Linked DNA regions of Tribolium castaneum. The protein of the gene in region 2 interacts with the protein of the main gene of each other region in a biochemical or structural test. Links are inferred from orthologs where the notes say so. Each region holds a gene or a part of one and is shown on either strand. Other genes may lie near its edges. The genes, in order: Su(fu), ci and fu.

What was found.
Region 1: the proteins of ci (region 2) and Su(fu) form a complex in vitro, tested with the Drosophila melanogaster proteins (2 studies listed by BioGRID). The link is inferred for Tribolium castaneum from reciprocal best matches to the Drosophila melanogaster genes ci and Su(fu).
Region 3: the proteins of ci (region 2) and fu form a complex in vitro, tested with the Drosophila melanogaster proteins (2 studies listed by BioGRID, with this or other methods). The link is inferred for Tribolium castaneum from reciprocal best matches to the Drosophila melanogaster genes ci and fu.

What each region holds. Positions count from the first base shown.
Region 1 is NC_087397.1:4,508,548-4,512,661, reverse strand, and holds Su(fu) (suppressor of fused homolog), read right to left. Parts: upstream 2,857-4,114; 5' UTR 2,611-2,856; coding exon 2,462-2,610; intron 2,240-2,461; coding exon 2,147-2,239; intron 2,103-2,146; coding exon 1,695-2,102; intron 1,644-1,694; coding exon 1,242-1,643; intron 1,191-1,241; coding exon 911-1,190; 3' UTR 634-910; downstream 1-633. Other genes in the region: uncharacterized protein LOC107399185, read right to left, coding at 49-242, 295-295; Lrrk (leucine-rich repeat serine/threonine-protein kinase 1), read left to right, coding at 3,072-3,125, 3,175-3,372, 3,427-3,592.
Region 2 is NC_087394.1:31,429,230-31,433,379, forward strand, and holds the start of ci (transcriptional activator cubitus interruptus), read left to right. Parts: upstream 1-1,284; 5' UTR 1,285-1,732; coding exon 1,733-1,917; intron 1,918-4,150. UniProt on the Drosophila melanogaster protein: Has a dual function as a transcriptional activator and a repressor of the hedgehog (Hh) pathway. The full-length ci form (ciFL), acts as an activator (ciA) while ciR, its C-terminally truncated form, acts as a repressor. Involved in segment polarity.
Region 3 is NC_087395.1:1,160,836-1,165,015, forward strand, and holds the start of fu (serine/threonine-protein kinase fused), read right to left. Parts: upstream 2,855-4,180; coding exon 2,687-2,854; intron 2,639-2,686; coding exon 2,525-2,638; intron 1-2,524. Other genes in the region: centriolar and ciliogenesis-associated protein HYLS1, read left to right, coding at 3,085-3,238, 3,290-3,631, 3,680-3,852. UniProt on the Drosophila melanogaster protein: Probable serine/threonine-protein kinase; maternally required for correct patterning in the posterior part of each embryonic metamere. May be involved in control of cell division during metamorphosis and ovarian development. May interact with costal-2.

The DNA.
Region 1 (4,114 bases), on a different chromosome or scaffold from region 2:
AAAACACACTTTGTAGAAGAAATGTCTAACAGTTAAATAAATACAAACCTCCACAGTATAATTTAGCTTTTTCATGCTCGGTAGAACTTCTGCAGAAATTCTCATCGGTTGTACTGTGCCATCAAACCTAAATTTGGTGACGTGACCGCTGGTAAAAGCATTTTCTCCCCGAACTAAAAAGCGATTACCGTCCCCAAAAAATTTCGCAATAAAGTGAAACTTAACAATGTGCTTTTCTGCCACTAAAATGCATAAATATAATAGTTTCTCAAAGTATAATTAAAGCTTACTCACTTTCTCACCGACAACGTGGTTCCCTGTATTCTTTTATAAAGTTCGTATTTTCACAAAAAGTCACTTCTAAATTAAATTAAAGTCTCTAGTGGCACAAATTACACCCGCTGCAGCTATTTGACACGTTATTAACGCACAAACACAACCAAAAAACCGAAAAACGTATTACACCACATGTAAAAGACTGGTTGTTTAGCTTTGAGCAACTGACCTACCGTAATAAGAGTGGGGAGGTGACGTCACGACTGATAGCGCGTATGAAGTAAATCAAACGACTTAATTTCACAGGCCATTTCGATAAAAAAATTAGAAAGCATGGTATAAAAATAAAAAACCTAATTCAAAAGAAAGCATCTTTATTCGTTTAGAATCAAGTGGGACAGTTTACAGGTCTATGGTACATAATATGGGTTACTTTTTGTACTTTAAATCCGATATGTATAGCATATGGGGGGTTGTTCTATTTAAGTTAGGTAATAATAAATAATGTAATAAATTAATTGAGTAAACCTAAGATAAGAAATATGCCTACATATTGCTTTTGATTATTTCGTGAGACTAAGGCTAAATTAAACCTATTTTAGTCTTATTATGATTAATGAGATAACTGTAAATACTATAACTTGTCCGCTACAATAGTCACAGATAACTTTTTGTCGGGCCATGAGAATGTTTTTGGTAAAGAAAGCGCCTCTGGAGTGGCCAGAACTTGAAAAGTAACCGCCATATCCTGAGCTAAATCGTCGGTAATAAGTATTTGTAGCCATGAACCCTGAGCTACATAAGGGTGTTCTGAGTTCACCAACGTCCCTGTAACCGTACCTGCCACTAGTGTTATGGCAGTTTCACCCAAAACTGACTTAAATGTGAAATGTCTACCATGTCGTACGCGCCCCCTTTTCAAAAATAAAAAATAGAAACAACACCAACACGTAAAATTCCCTCACCTGATGGCCAAAGGGAGTAAACTCCCAGCCTCCAAATTAAAAACCAAATGGACGCCCTCTAATTTCTTTATGTGCAACAACTCAGTTGACTCGTCCATTTTGAAATTGGTGCTACTGGAGCGGTTTTGTTCAAAGTTGCCACTCTGTAGCGGTTTTTGAGGTGAATTTAACAGAGTTACGTCCTCTTGAGCTTGGAAATTGTCACAATCGGACTTTTCTTTCAAATGCATTATGTCAATACGAGCAGGGTCTTGCTCAACCCATGAACACCTAGCGCTGACTCCGCTCAAATTGGAGCCCTCTAACTCAAACCCTCGCTCGACTTCCTCGTGCGCGTTTAAATCAAGCTCAAAAATGCTCTCCCCTCGCCTCATATCCGTGATAAACCAAGGCCCCCCAGCACTAAAACCCAGACTTAAGTTTTACGAAAACGTGATTGGTGGTGCGATTTACGACGGTATTCTAGTTATCATATCAAGCACCCCGGCCCCGTTCCACTGCTGGGCTGCTTTCAGCTCCTCGGCGCAAATACCAACAATTTGGACGAAATCGACAGAACCAAAAGGCGTCTGTATTGACTTCAAATGCACGTCTGTGGTCATCAACATGTGCTGTATTCGTGACTCGCTGCTATCTAACGCGCAGTGCCAGGAAACGTGGTCACCAGCACAAAGAGTGTTGCCTGACTGAAAAACGTATTTCGCTAAAGATTGCATTAAAGTTGCGGGCCAGGTGGGCGGTGCCGTCTCTTCAGGCTCCCGTTTTAGCCTAAATGTTAGCTCAAAACCAAAACCTGAAACACCATTAGCTCCTGACACGTCGTGCACTCGCCCGTCACCGTGAAGGTCTGAGAGACCAAAACTAAAATTTTCGTTTATTAAATATTTCACTTAAAAGATTGCTACCTTATGTAGTGCCAATGTGGAGGAATGTTTTCTTGTGGAATGCCTGGATTTGCATACATTGATATGTAATCTAAAGGATCGGGCCCTCCCAGCCTATAAAAAAGTATCCCCTCGTTTAAAAATAAAATAGGTCAGCTCCCCTGTTTACATACAAGGGAAGCAGACAGAAAAAACAGGAAGTGACTATAAATAGAACCTGAGTCAAATTTTAATTTAATGGAAATTTCGCACAATTATAAGCCCGGCAATTGCCAAAATAATTACATGTACGTTAAATTAAACGAATTATGTAATTTTATTGCAAAAATCACTTGCCAGTACTTGATGAGGGCCGTGACTTGAAGGGGGTTGGCTTGATCGGGGTAAATTTTCCTACATAGCGTGTACAAAGACTCCAAACCTGCTGGTGTCGGTGGCAGAATGTTCATTGGGGGTCCATGGGGCAGAGCAGCAGCTTCATTCATTGTTCTATTGGGCCCCCCCAACTTTAAAACTTTACAAACCAACACCTCTACTTACTAGAAATCGGCAGAAAGTATTATATTTAGCCGTTTGTTACCACTTTAGAACATTTTACACTTCCGTCCAGACCAATAAAAGAAAATATTTCAAGAATGCAGGAACAACTTTTAGGCAACCCGCCAAACAAAACAAGAGTAACCTGGCTCGGTAACTCACCAAACAGAAATTTCCCTAGAGCCCGTTCGAAAAGTGGGTGCAAGGGGTGGCTTTTGGCGTTGTTAGGTTGCTTGTCGTTGCGACAATTAAACTAACCTCTAATCCAGCAGTCAAAATAAGGACATTTTTGTATTTCTCAATCGTTGCGAAATTATTATCGTTGAAACGCTTCGCGGTTTTTGCACGAAATTGTGTTAGTTTCCGCGTTTGTGTAATGTAGGTGTTGGGAGCGTTATCGATCGCCACAATGTTGGATTCTTCGCCTGAAGACGAAGATTTTCCAGGCCGGCTCCTACACCAGGTTCGTTCCTTTAACTAGTTAATTTGCAAAATTTGATTGTTGTTTTAAGGCCGCGTTATGGGACAACACACATTTACTCATGGACTTGCTAGAAGGGGGCCAACAGGCCTTCCTGAACTCGCAGGACAGTTGGGGGAGAACCCCCCTACATGCAGCTGCTATTAATGATAATTCAGGGTGTTTGACAATTTTACTAAATGCAGGGGCCGATCCTAACATTCGGTGCGGCCCAAGAGGCGACCAGAAGGTTTGTTTTTAATTAATTTTAGCAGTTGTAGGAAAATAATTGCTCTCGTTTTAGATTCCTTTGCATTTAAGTGCCGAACATGGGCATAACAGTAATGTCTCAATTTTACTGCAGCATGATTCAGATATTCAAATTCTGGATGCGAATGGAATGAGTGCTCTCGATCTGGCTGAAAAAGCGGGGCATGTGAAGTGTGTAACACTATTGAAAGAAGCTGTGGGTAAGTAAATAATCCCTATTCAATTTTTTTCTCAGGGTTATATACTGCTCAACGAATACTTATTGTCAGTGATTATAAACTCTTGTACAACAGGACATTATGTAATATAATGTACATAAAAAATGTACATTTTCTGAGTGACTTAATTTAAAAGTATTTGTATGTCTTGGAACACTTTGTAGTTATTATTTAGATTAATTTAAAAGCCGGAAGAATACTTTCCAACTTTTGTTTTTATTAGTGTATAACATTTTTTTATACAAACTCTCTACTTTGGAATTTTAAACATACTGTGACTGATTAACACAACAAATAAAATTGGCCAAAATAAAAGTGAAGACGCAATAAAAAAATGTTACTCAAAAGTGTAAACTTTGAGACATATTAATAAAATTTGCCTAAGTCACGAATTACATGCTGTATTTGTGTTTGCATTAAATCTCTATCAATTAAATTAACGGAAATACCTTAAATTATTAGATAAGCCAATTCTTTTTATAAAACAGTGTCTATTTGTACTTA
Region 2 (4,150 bases):
AATATTCATAGTAAAGGTATTGAAATGCAGACGTTATTCTCAAACACGTTAAATAAATGTGTTTGTTTACCTCATATACTTGTAAATAGAAAAAATTACATTGTTTGATTCATTTCTCATGTAGGTATACCTCGGTTCTTTTTTATCGCTTTGATGGCAACGTCACAAAGACGTTTTATGAGGTGAAATTGGTCACAAACATTTGATTTACGTTGGAAAGAAGAATGTTATAATTGGATTCTACTAACAAATTTAGAGCAAATGATGAGCTCCACTGTTTCATAAACAAAAAGAATTATAAAACTCGATTCAATGACCATAGAAATCTACACATTTGTGAAAAAAATCCTTGGACAATCGAATTTGTTCTTGTTTCCGTTCATCATACCTATGATTCTTTGATTTCATATCTAAGAGATGAGGGTCCAAGGTTTGACATTATCAACATTTTTTTAAATGAGATACATAATCCTCTTTTTGAAGCCATAAATGAAAAGTTCGCATTTTTTACGCTTTTGTAGTAATTTACTGGAGACAATGGGAACAAAAGGGGTAGGTTTTATAGGTAGACGTTTCAGTATGTTATTTTTTTCAAATTTTAAGTAAATTTGCGAATTTTTTTTGAACAATTACAAATGGAAAGGATGTTTTATTTGATGAGTTCTGTTACTTGTTAAAATTAATACATGTATTTCTGATACACTCTGTATTTATAAAAAGCATAAGCGTGTATGCTCCGGTTTTAGGCAAAAAATGTCCACGTGTCCAATTCTTTTCATACAATTTTTGCACTATTTACACTATTTACACTATACAAATTTGATTACAGGTATAGTTTGCCGTATTTGTGCCTACACTTTGTTAACTTAACGAATTGTTAAAACACATGAGTATATAAAAACTACCTACATGATATTACATTTCATTCAGAATCCACTTAGCACAATTGTGTATTTGATGTTTGTTTTTCTTTTCAGCTAAAATATGTTACATGTTTATTTACAGACTGTTACAAAACGTAAAGTAGCACATTTTTACTTTTATTAACTACACACTACTACTATGTTTTCCTTATTTCATTTCTCGTACAGCAAAAACTTTCATTATCTCAGAAATGAAAAGCGATATAACTATGAAATCGTAGCGAGTGAGAAGCCTAGAAAATGGAAGGTTTATTGATATAAATGGAGGCTCCTAATTCGCTGCTACGCCACTGAGTAAATAAGAGAGTACAGAATGTGAGTCCATTCCCTCGCAGTCGGTCTGGGTTGGCCCCTCCCCGGGCTCCCTTCTTCCACACTCGTTAGTTGAGTTGTAAGGCCTGCCTGTCAACTACTCGCCTGCCTCTACTCTAGTTAGTTGTCCGTAGTCTATAGGCTGGTTGTGTTGTACTATACCTATTAGCAAATAAAGCATGTGCCTTACGCATCACCAGCAAGTGCCTCCGCGACGATGCCTCTCCTATTATTAGCCGCTCCGAATTGCCCTAAGTGCCTGGATTAAGTGTCTAGACTGGATAATACCCGCACCGATTCAAGCCCAATTACCGCCCCATAAAAATAAATTCAAATCGCGATGCTCCGGCGCGGAAAACCGCGAACTCGTGTGCCGCAGCCTTTAATTGAGACATATCCAATTAGCTAAGAAATTGCTAGATGACAGCGCTGATGACCGGTAGCGCGTTTTTGTGACAATCAGTTGTGACACAATTTAGTGATGTGACTAGTGCGATATGCCCGAAAAGGAGGCGGATTTTCAAGCCGCTATGTCTGCTGGTCTACCGTTACAGTTCCCGTCGGCTTTTGCGGCTTTCCACGCGCCTCTTCCCGTTGACCAACGCACGCACGAAGGACGATACGTCTGGGACCCCAGGATGCAGCCGCCAGGAGCGCCCTTCCACCATCCCACGCCGCCAGGGTGAGTCCAGCACGCTGACAGTGCTGCTCAACACTTGCGGAACGGCAATTGAGCAAAAACCTATATCTATATCAAGTCATATACACTGAACTCTTTTCTAAATCGTACTGAAGAAGAAGCAAACTTGTTGCTTTTAATTTTTGCATTCCATAACATTTAAAAAAGTTTGTTACGTATAGAGGTCATCTTCACTTAACAATTTGAGTTAAATTTTTATCACCGAAACGTAAAGATAAACTCATTATTAATGGCTGGGAACGTGAAACCAACTCGACAACGGGAAGTGGTCGTCCGAAAATAATGTATAACTGTTCTGGTCATTGTCGGAGATGACGCTATTGGTTTTTAACGGCATTTGACTACGTTTTTATCTCAAAAACTGGTCAACATAAATTTGAATAAAAACAAAGAAACATAAAGAGCGAATTGATTTAAAAAGCAATTCTAGAGAGAAGAGGATTCTCTAGGTATCACTGTTACTACAACTGTAATAAAAAAGATATTTTTGACTCGGTCCACTTTTATTACCCTCATGATGTTCCAAGCGTTTTAAACAGTGAGACAAGCTAAAAGGTAACTACTTGTTAGCAGCAGTGCTACTTTTCTCTAAGTAGCAACTTCCAAATGGTGCTTAATTATTGAAGAAAGGAAGATTTGAAAGAATAGAAGATTTTGATTAAAATTATATTCATATTCAAATTCGCAAAAGGTGAATTTTTTGAGTAGCCAGTTTCATTCTCTTATTTGTAAAAAAAATATATTTGTTAACATAAAGGCAGGTTCACACCTAGAAAGTAGTAAGTAGAGATCATACTTAAGCATAGATATTTTTAAAAAAAACAGGCTATTCCGTCTAAACCCCACATTAGAAGTTCTAATAATGATACTCATCTAAAAATTTACACACAACCTTAATCCGTTAGGTCCTGATCAATGAAAATATTTTGAACATGGCAGCACTTCCGGTTATACCGGAAGTCGTTATCAACTTTTTTATTTTCAATCGGAAGCTGTACTTATCTATCAGCTTTCCCTATACCTAAATTTACTTGTTTTCGAAATATTTAGGGTTTTTTGAAAATTTTTGGATTTGCTTCTTTGACTTTAAAACTTTATAACTCTGCCGGTTTTAAAAATTGGAAAACTTTTTTGGCTTTGAAAGAGAAGGTATAATAAATGTTTTCTTGGGTGTTTTCTTTTTAAAAAAAGTTAGCAGTAAATTTTTAAGATTAAATTTGCAGAACGTTTTAAACACCTATAACTTAAAATTTTCAAATGAAATCCCACAATTTTTATTTAACTAAATGGTAAACTTTTCTTCCATATTTTGAACATACTGAAGGAACGTACTTTTCTTCTTTGATTATCCAAATACGATTTATAAAACTCAAAAAACGTCAGTGTTATCGATTTTTGAAGTCAAAGATGCAAATCTGAAAATTTTCAAAAATAACTCGTAAATATCTCGAAAACGGATTAATTTAGGTGTAGGGAAGCGGATGAAAAACCTCTTGAAGTAACTCGAGTTATTTAAGAACGCAGTAAAAAACATATCTTTCTATTATGCTATTAAAAATTACTTCTTGGTGTCCTTTCCTTTTTATAAAATCATGGTTCGAGTTGGTGGTGCCTATTTTGGTTGTGAATTTTTCGTTACAATGATGCGTCTGTCCATCAGACAATTTGTTGAGCTGATACAAAAAGTGTCGAATCACGTTCGATGTTGGCTCTTTTGGTTTACGGTTGGATCCTATTTCTTTGTCTATAGACACGTAAATTTGTCATTGTCGGTAATCATCCAGGAAAGGATAATTTATGATTATTGACTTGGAAGTTTGAACTTGCATTGAGAGTGGAGAAAAATTTGACAGTGTTCCAGTTATTATTTAAATTTTTTGAGTGTGATGAAACAAGCCGGTAGTGTTTACGTTGACGCAACAAAGTTTTACGAGTTGCTCCCTCATCCATTAAAGACTTTAAAGCAAGACGTAAATAAACATCTTCTAATGTGGATTTTCTGCAATTTGTAGGATTTATTTAGGGATTTTAGACCGGAACATCCGAAATAACAAACATTTTAACGACATCGTTAAGGTATAGACCCACCGAAAGCCATTCAATCCGTCCCTAACAATCTCTTTTCTCCGAATCGACAGCACGTAACATTGACGCATTGCCTGAAATCCTTAGGATTTCAACAAACTCATGATCTCTTTTGTGCTCACAATCGGAC
Region 3 (4,180 bases), on a different chromosome or scaffold from region 2:
TCGGAATTCACCCAAAAACTAATTTATTAGCAAATTAGATTCAACAACGACATTGACACTTCCACAGTGTCCTTCCAACTAACTAGGCGTTGCCCGTACGCGCCTCACGCGTCATCATTTCCCGCCAATTTCAACAGCAGCGCCCCCTTCACTTAACAGACAGAAGGAAAAAAATGGTGAGACAAGCAGTCAAACGATACGAAAATAGAAGAAAACTGAAAAAATAATAACTTCATTGCGAACAAAAATTCTACAAATAATTAAACATAAAAATAATTTTAAATATGTTGGGGGAATACTCAGATTGTAACTGGTTTCCTGATTTCAAATTGTGTTAGATTTCTGGTGTCACCACAACTCAGTCCTGCGTAATTCACAAACATTATTTTTCAATTTTTGTAAATTTAAGGATAATTTGATTCACTACTAGAATAGCCGACAAGGAGCAATTTACTTTGATTTTTTATTTATATAAAAAAATTAACTGCATCTTGTCTCTGCTATCCCATTTAATTTATTAAATCATACTTAAATAAAAATAACAACAGACGTTGAACAGTGAATACAATTTTTTGTAAATGTGATTGTTGGTATAAAAAGCATTTTTCTAAAATCACCAAACAAAATTTTTGCACAGTTTTCATCAAATTAACACGAAAATCACAAGATTTGGTGTTGGTTGCCTAACATTTATACACTATATTGAAAATCTTTGTTTAAAAAACGAAAAGAACTTAGTAAAATATAAGGAAAAATTGTCTCTCTTTATTTGGTGTTTCAAACAAAAATTTTTAGATCGTCTGATCAACTGATTACAACAATTTAATTTAGCAACAAGATCATTAATAGATAATAGGCAAAAATAATAAGGAAAAAACAGTACAAGGAAATAAAAATTGTTTTACGAAATTACTTGAAAGAGAAAATAAGAAAATAAAGAATAACCAATAAAGACAAAAAATCTAAATTTTAAATAAAAAAATAAAAAATTGGAAAAGATGGCCTCAAAAAACATTATTGAAAATGTAAAAAAAGGATGATTAAGAAAAAACTATATAGAATAGAATAAAACTGTATAGAACTATACAGGATGCTCAAAAACTGGCGCACCAACTCAGTGGTACGCTGTTGAGAAGCATGTGTAGATCACGGAAAAAATCTTGAAAAAATTCCTAATGTCATATTTTAAAAAATATGGAGCTACAAACTTATTTTGTAAACTTCTTCAGTTTTCATTATTTTTTAATAGTTTTATGTTTCACACTAAGTAATCGTTCCCTAACACAACAATGAATAATTATTTTTAAATTTCCTATCAGACTTTAGCAGATTTTTTAATTAAAAAAAATAAAATTCGTCAAAAAAATCACAATTTGTAGATGTGTCAACATTGGGAATTATTACTTAGGAAACCGTTTCAAAAATAATTTATTTTTATTGTTGATTAAGTTCTATTGCGATCATCACTGTTAGACAACGTTGCCACATATCATCTAATTAAATATAATTAATATTTATAATTATATATATTTTTTATAATATATATATATATTTATAATATATATATATATATATATTATATATAATATAATTAATATAATTATTTATCAATAATTTTAATACAAAGAATTTTTTTACTAATTTTACCGTTATATGTAAGCAATTCTCTACCATATTCCAATAAGTTGGTGCGTCGGTTTTTGAGCACTCGGTAGAATAGAAAAAAAAGAACAGAATAAACCACAAACGACAAACTACAAAAGACGAAGCCATAAACTGAAGACAATATAATATGAAAGAAATATAGCAAAAGGTAAAAAAAAACAAAAAGTAAAGCAATGGTAATATGAAAAAGAAATGCTAAAGCAACGAATAGAATAATGTCGCAGGAGAAATAAACCCACAAAATTAAAAAAAAACAAAATAAAAAAATGCAAAAAAGGCATAAAAGAAAACACACAAAATTAAACGAAGATAGAAAGAAAAAATTATGAGACAAGCAGTTAAACGATACGAAAATAAAAGAAAACTGAAAAAATAATAAAAAATAACATGAAAAAATGTAATTTCATTGCGAACACAAATTCTACAAATAATTAAACATAAAAATAATTTAACATATGTTGGAGGAATACTGTTAGATTTCTGGTGTCACCACAACTTTTTACAATTTTTGTAAATTTAAGTATGATTTAAATCATTACTGGGATAGCAGACTAATTTACATTGGTTTTTTATTTATTAAAAAAAAAATAAACTCCATCTTGTCTCTACTATCCCATTTAATTTGTTAAATCATACTTAAATAAAAATAACAACAGACGTTGAACAGTGAATCAAAATTTTTGTAAATGTGATTGTTTGTATAAAAAGCATTTTTCTAAAATCACTAAACAAAATGTTTATACAGTTTTCACCAAATTAACACGAAAATCACCAGATTTGGTGTTGGTTGCCTAACATTTGTACGGTACATTGAAAATCTGTTTAAAAAACGAAAAGAACTTGGGAAAAATTGTCTCACCTCATTTGGAGTTTCAAACGAATCAAGCATTTGTATAATATTGGGATGATGCAAATGTCTTTGAATTTCACATTCCCTTCGTAGACCAATTATTTCCTTGTTCGATCTTCGACCCTAAATGAAATAAATTTGAACGAGTTCGAGCCTCAGTTTTTAACTCACTTTACAGATAACTTTTAAGGCAACAAAAGATGAATCTGCGATTACTTTCGCTTTGTAAACTCGTCCAAACGATCCTTCGCCCAATAATTTAATAACTTCATACTTGTCCATATCATTTTTTACACTTGGAGAGGATTGTTTTTGTTTACTTACACTTCCGCGTGACATTTTTTTGACAATCAGATGTTTGTCACGCTGACAGGCAGGGACACCAACCCTCGTGAAAGTAACTGACTGGGTGGAAAGCAATTTTTTGCAAAGAAATACCAATTTTGTTGATAAAAATGATTTTGTGATTAGCAGTGTTTAATAAAATCAACGTTATTGTGAAATTAACCAACTGCGAGGTTTTGTAACACTTATTTTATGTCCCCACTTTTAGGGAATTTGATTTTCGTATGTTGCCTAGAAATTTAAGGTTTTGTTTCAACGTTTTCTTATTTTTTTTCTTAAAAATGACCACAAAAATAAGCCCTAGGGAAGTATTAGCGTATTTAAATGACTTGGGTTATCACAACATTAACCCACAACAATTGAAAGAATTTGTTTACGGTTGGTGAGTCATTTTTTGTTACTTTAATTGAACAAAAGTTTGGTTTTCAGACTTGAAAAAATTGATAAAGTATGAAGAACGCAAGAGAAGCAAACAAAGCCTTGGAAATGAAACAGATGTGCCGAACGAAAACGAAAAAAATAAAGATGATGTGTTTCTAGTTTTACATTCACAAGGGACTCACTCTTCAAGAGCCAAAACAGTTTCAAAGAAAGAAAGTGTAATTTCGTTAAAAATCAAGACAAGTAAAGGACCACAACACCATTGTCACGAAAACACGTTGGAGGCACAAACAGCCCCTGAAAAGGGTCAAGAAGACACGCTTGACTTTGTGCCCGTTAAAGATGTGCCTTGGAAAAAAATGATTAATTCTAGCAAACCTAAAAGTTCCTGTAAGTATTTTAAAGTGTTTGTAAGTTTTTTTACGTTTAAGCTTGTAGTCATAAGACCGGGAATTCAAACAAATATTAATAAGAGTGACCCTGTCGCACTCTACCACCAATATCAAAAGTGTTGGAAGCGACAAAAAATTCCAGGTGAAGACAACAGAACCGACTTGAGGTGGGCTATTAGAGAAAAAATGATGAGTGGACCTAGAGTGACAAGAGCTTGATTTTTATGTGTATTTTTACGTTAAAACGACCAGTTTTATAATAAATTGTTACAATCATGTCGTGTTAAATGAAAATGACTTCGTGCAGAAAATCTAACCTCTAAATAAATGTAAACAAAACGATGGCGGTAATATTACAAAAAAAACTTTCAAGATTTATAAAATCGACTTTGACGACATTTGCTTCTCCTGTTTATCTAGAAATTGTCCCGCAACTGTTTTTATGATAAATTTCGAGGGGGCTGCCTTGTCTTCCATACTCAAGGATATAATCAAGTGAGTCAAAAGTTGTGTAACTACTGAGGTCATTACGATACGCGATTTGCGT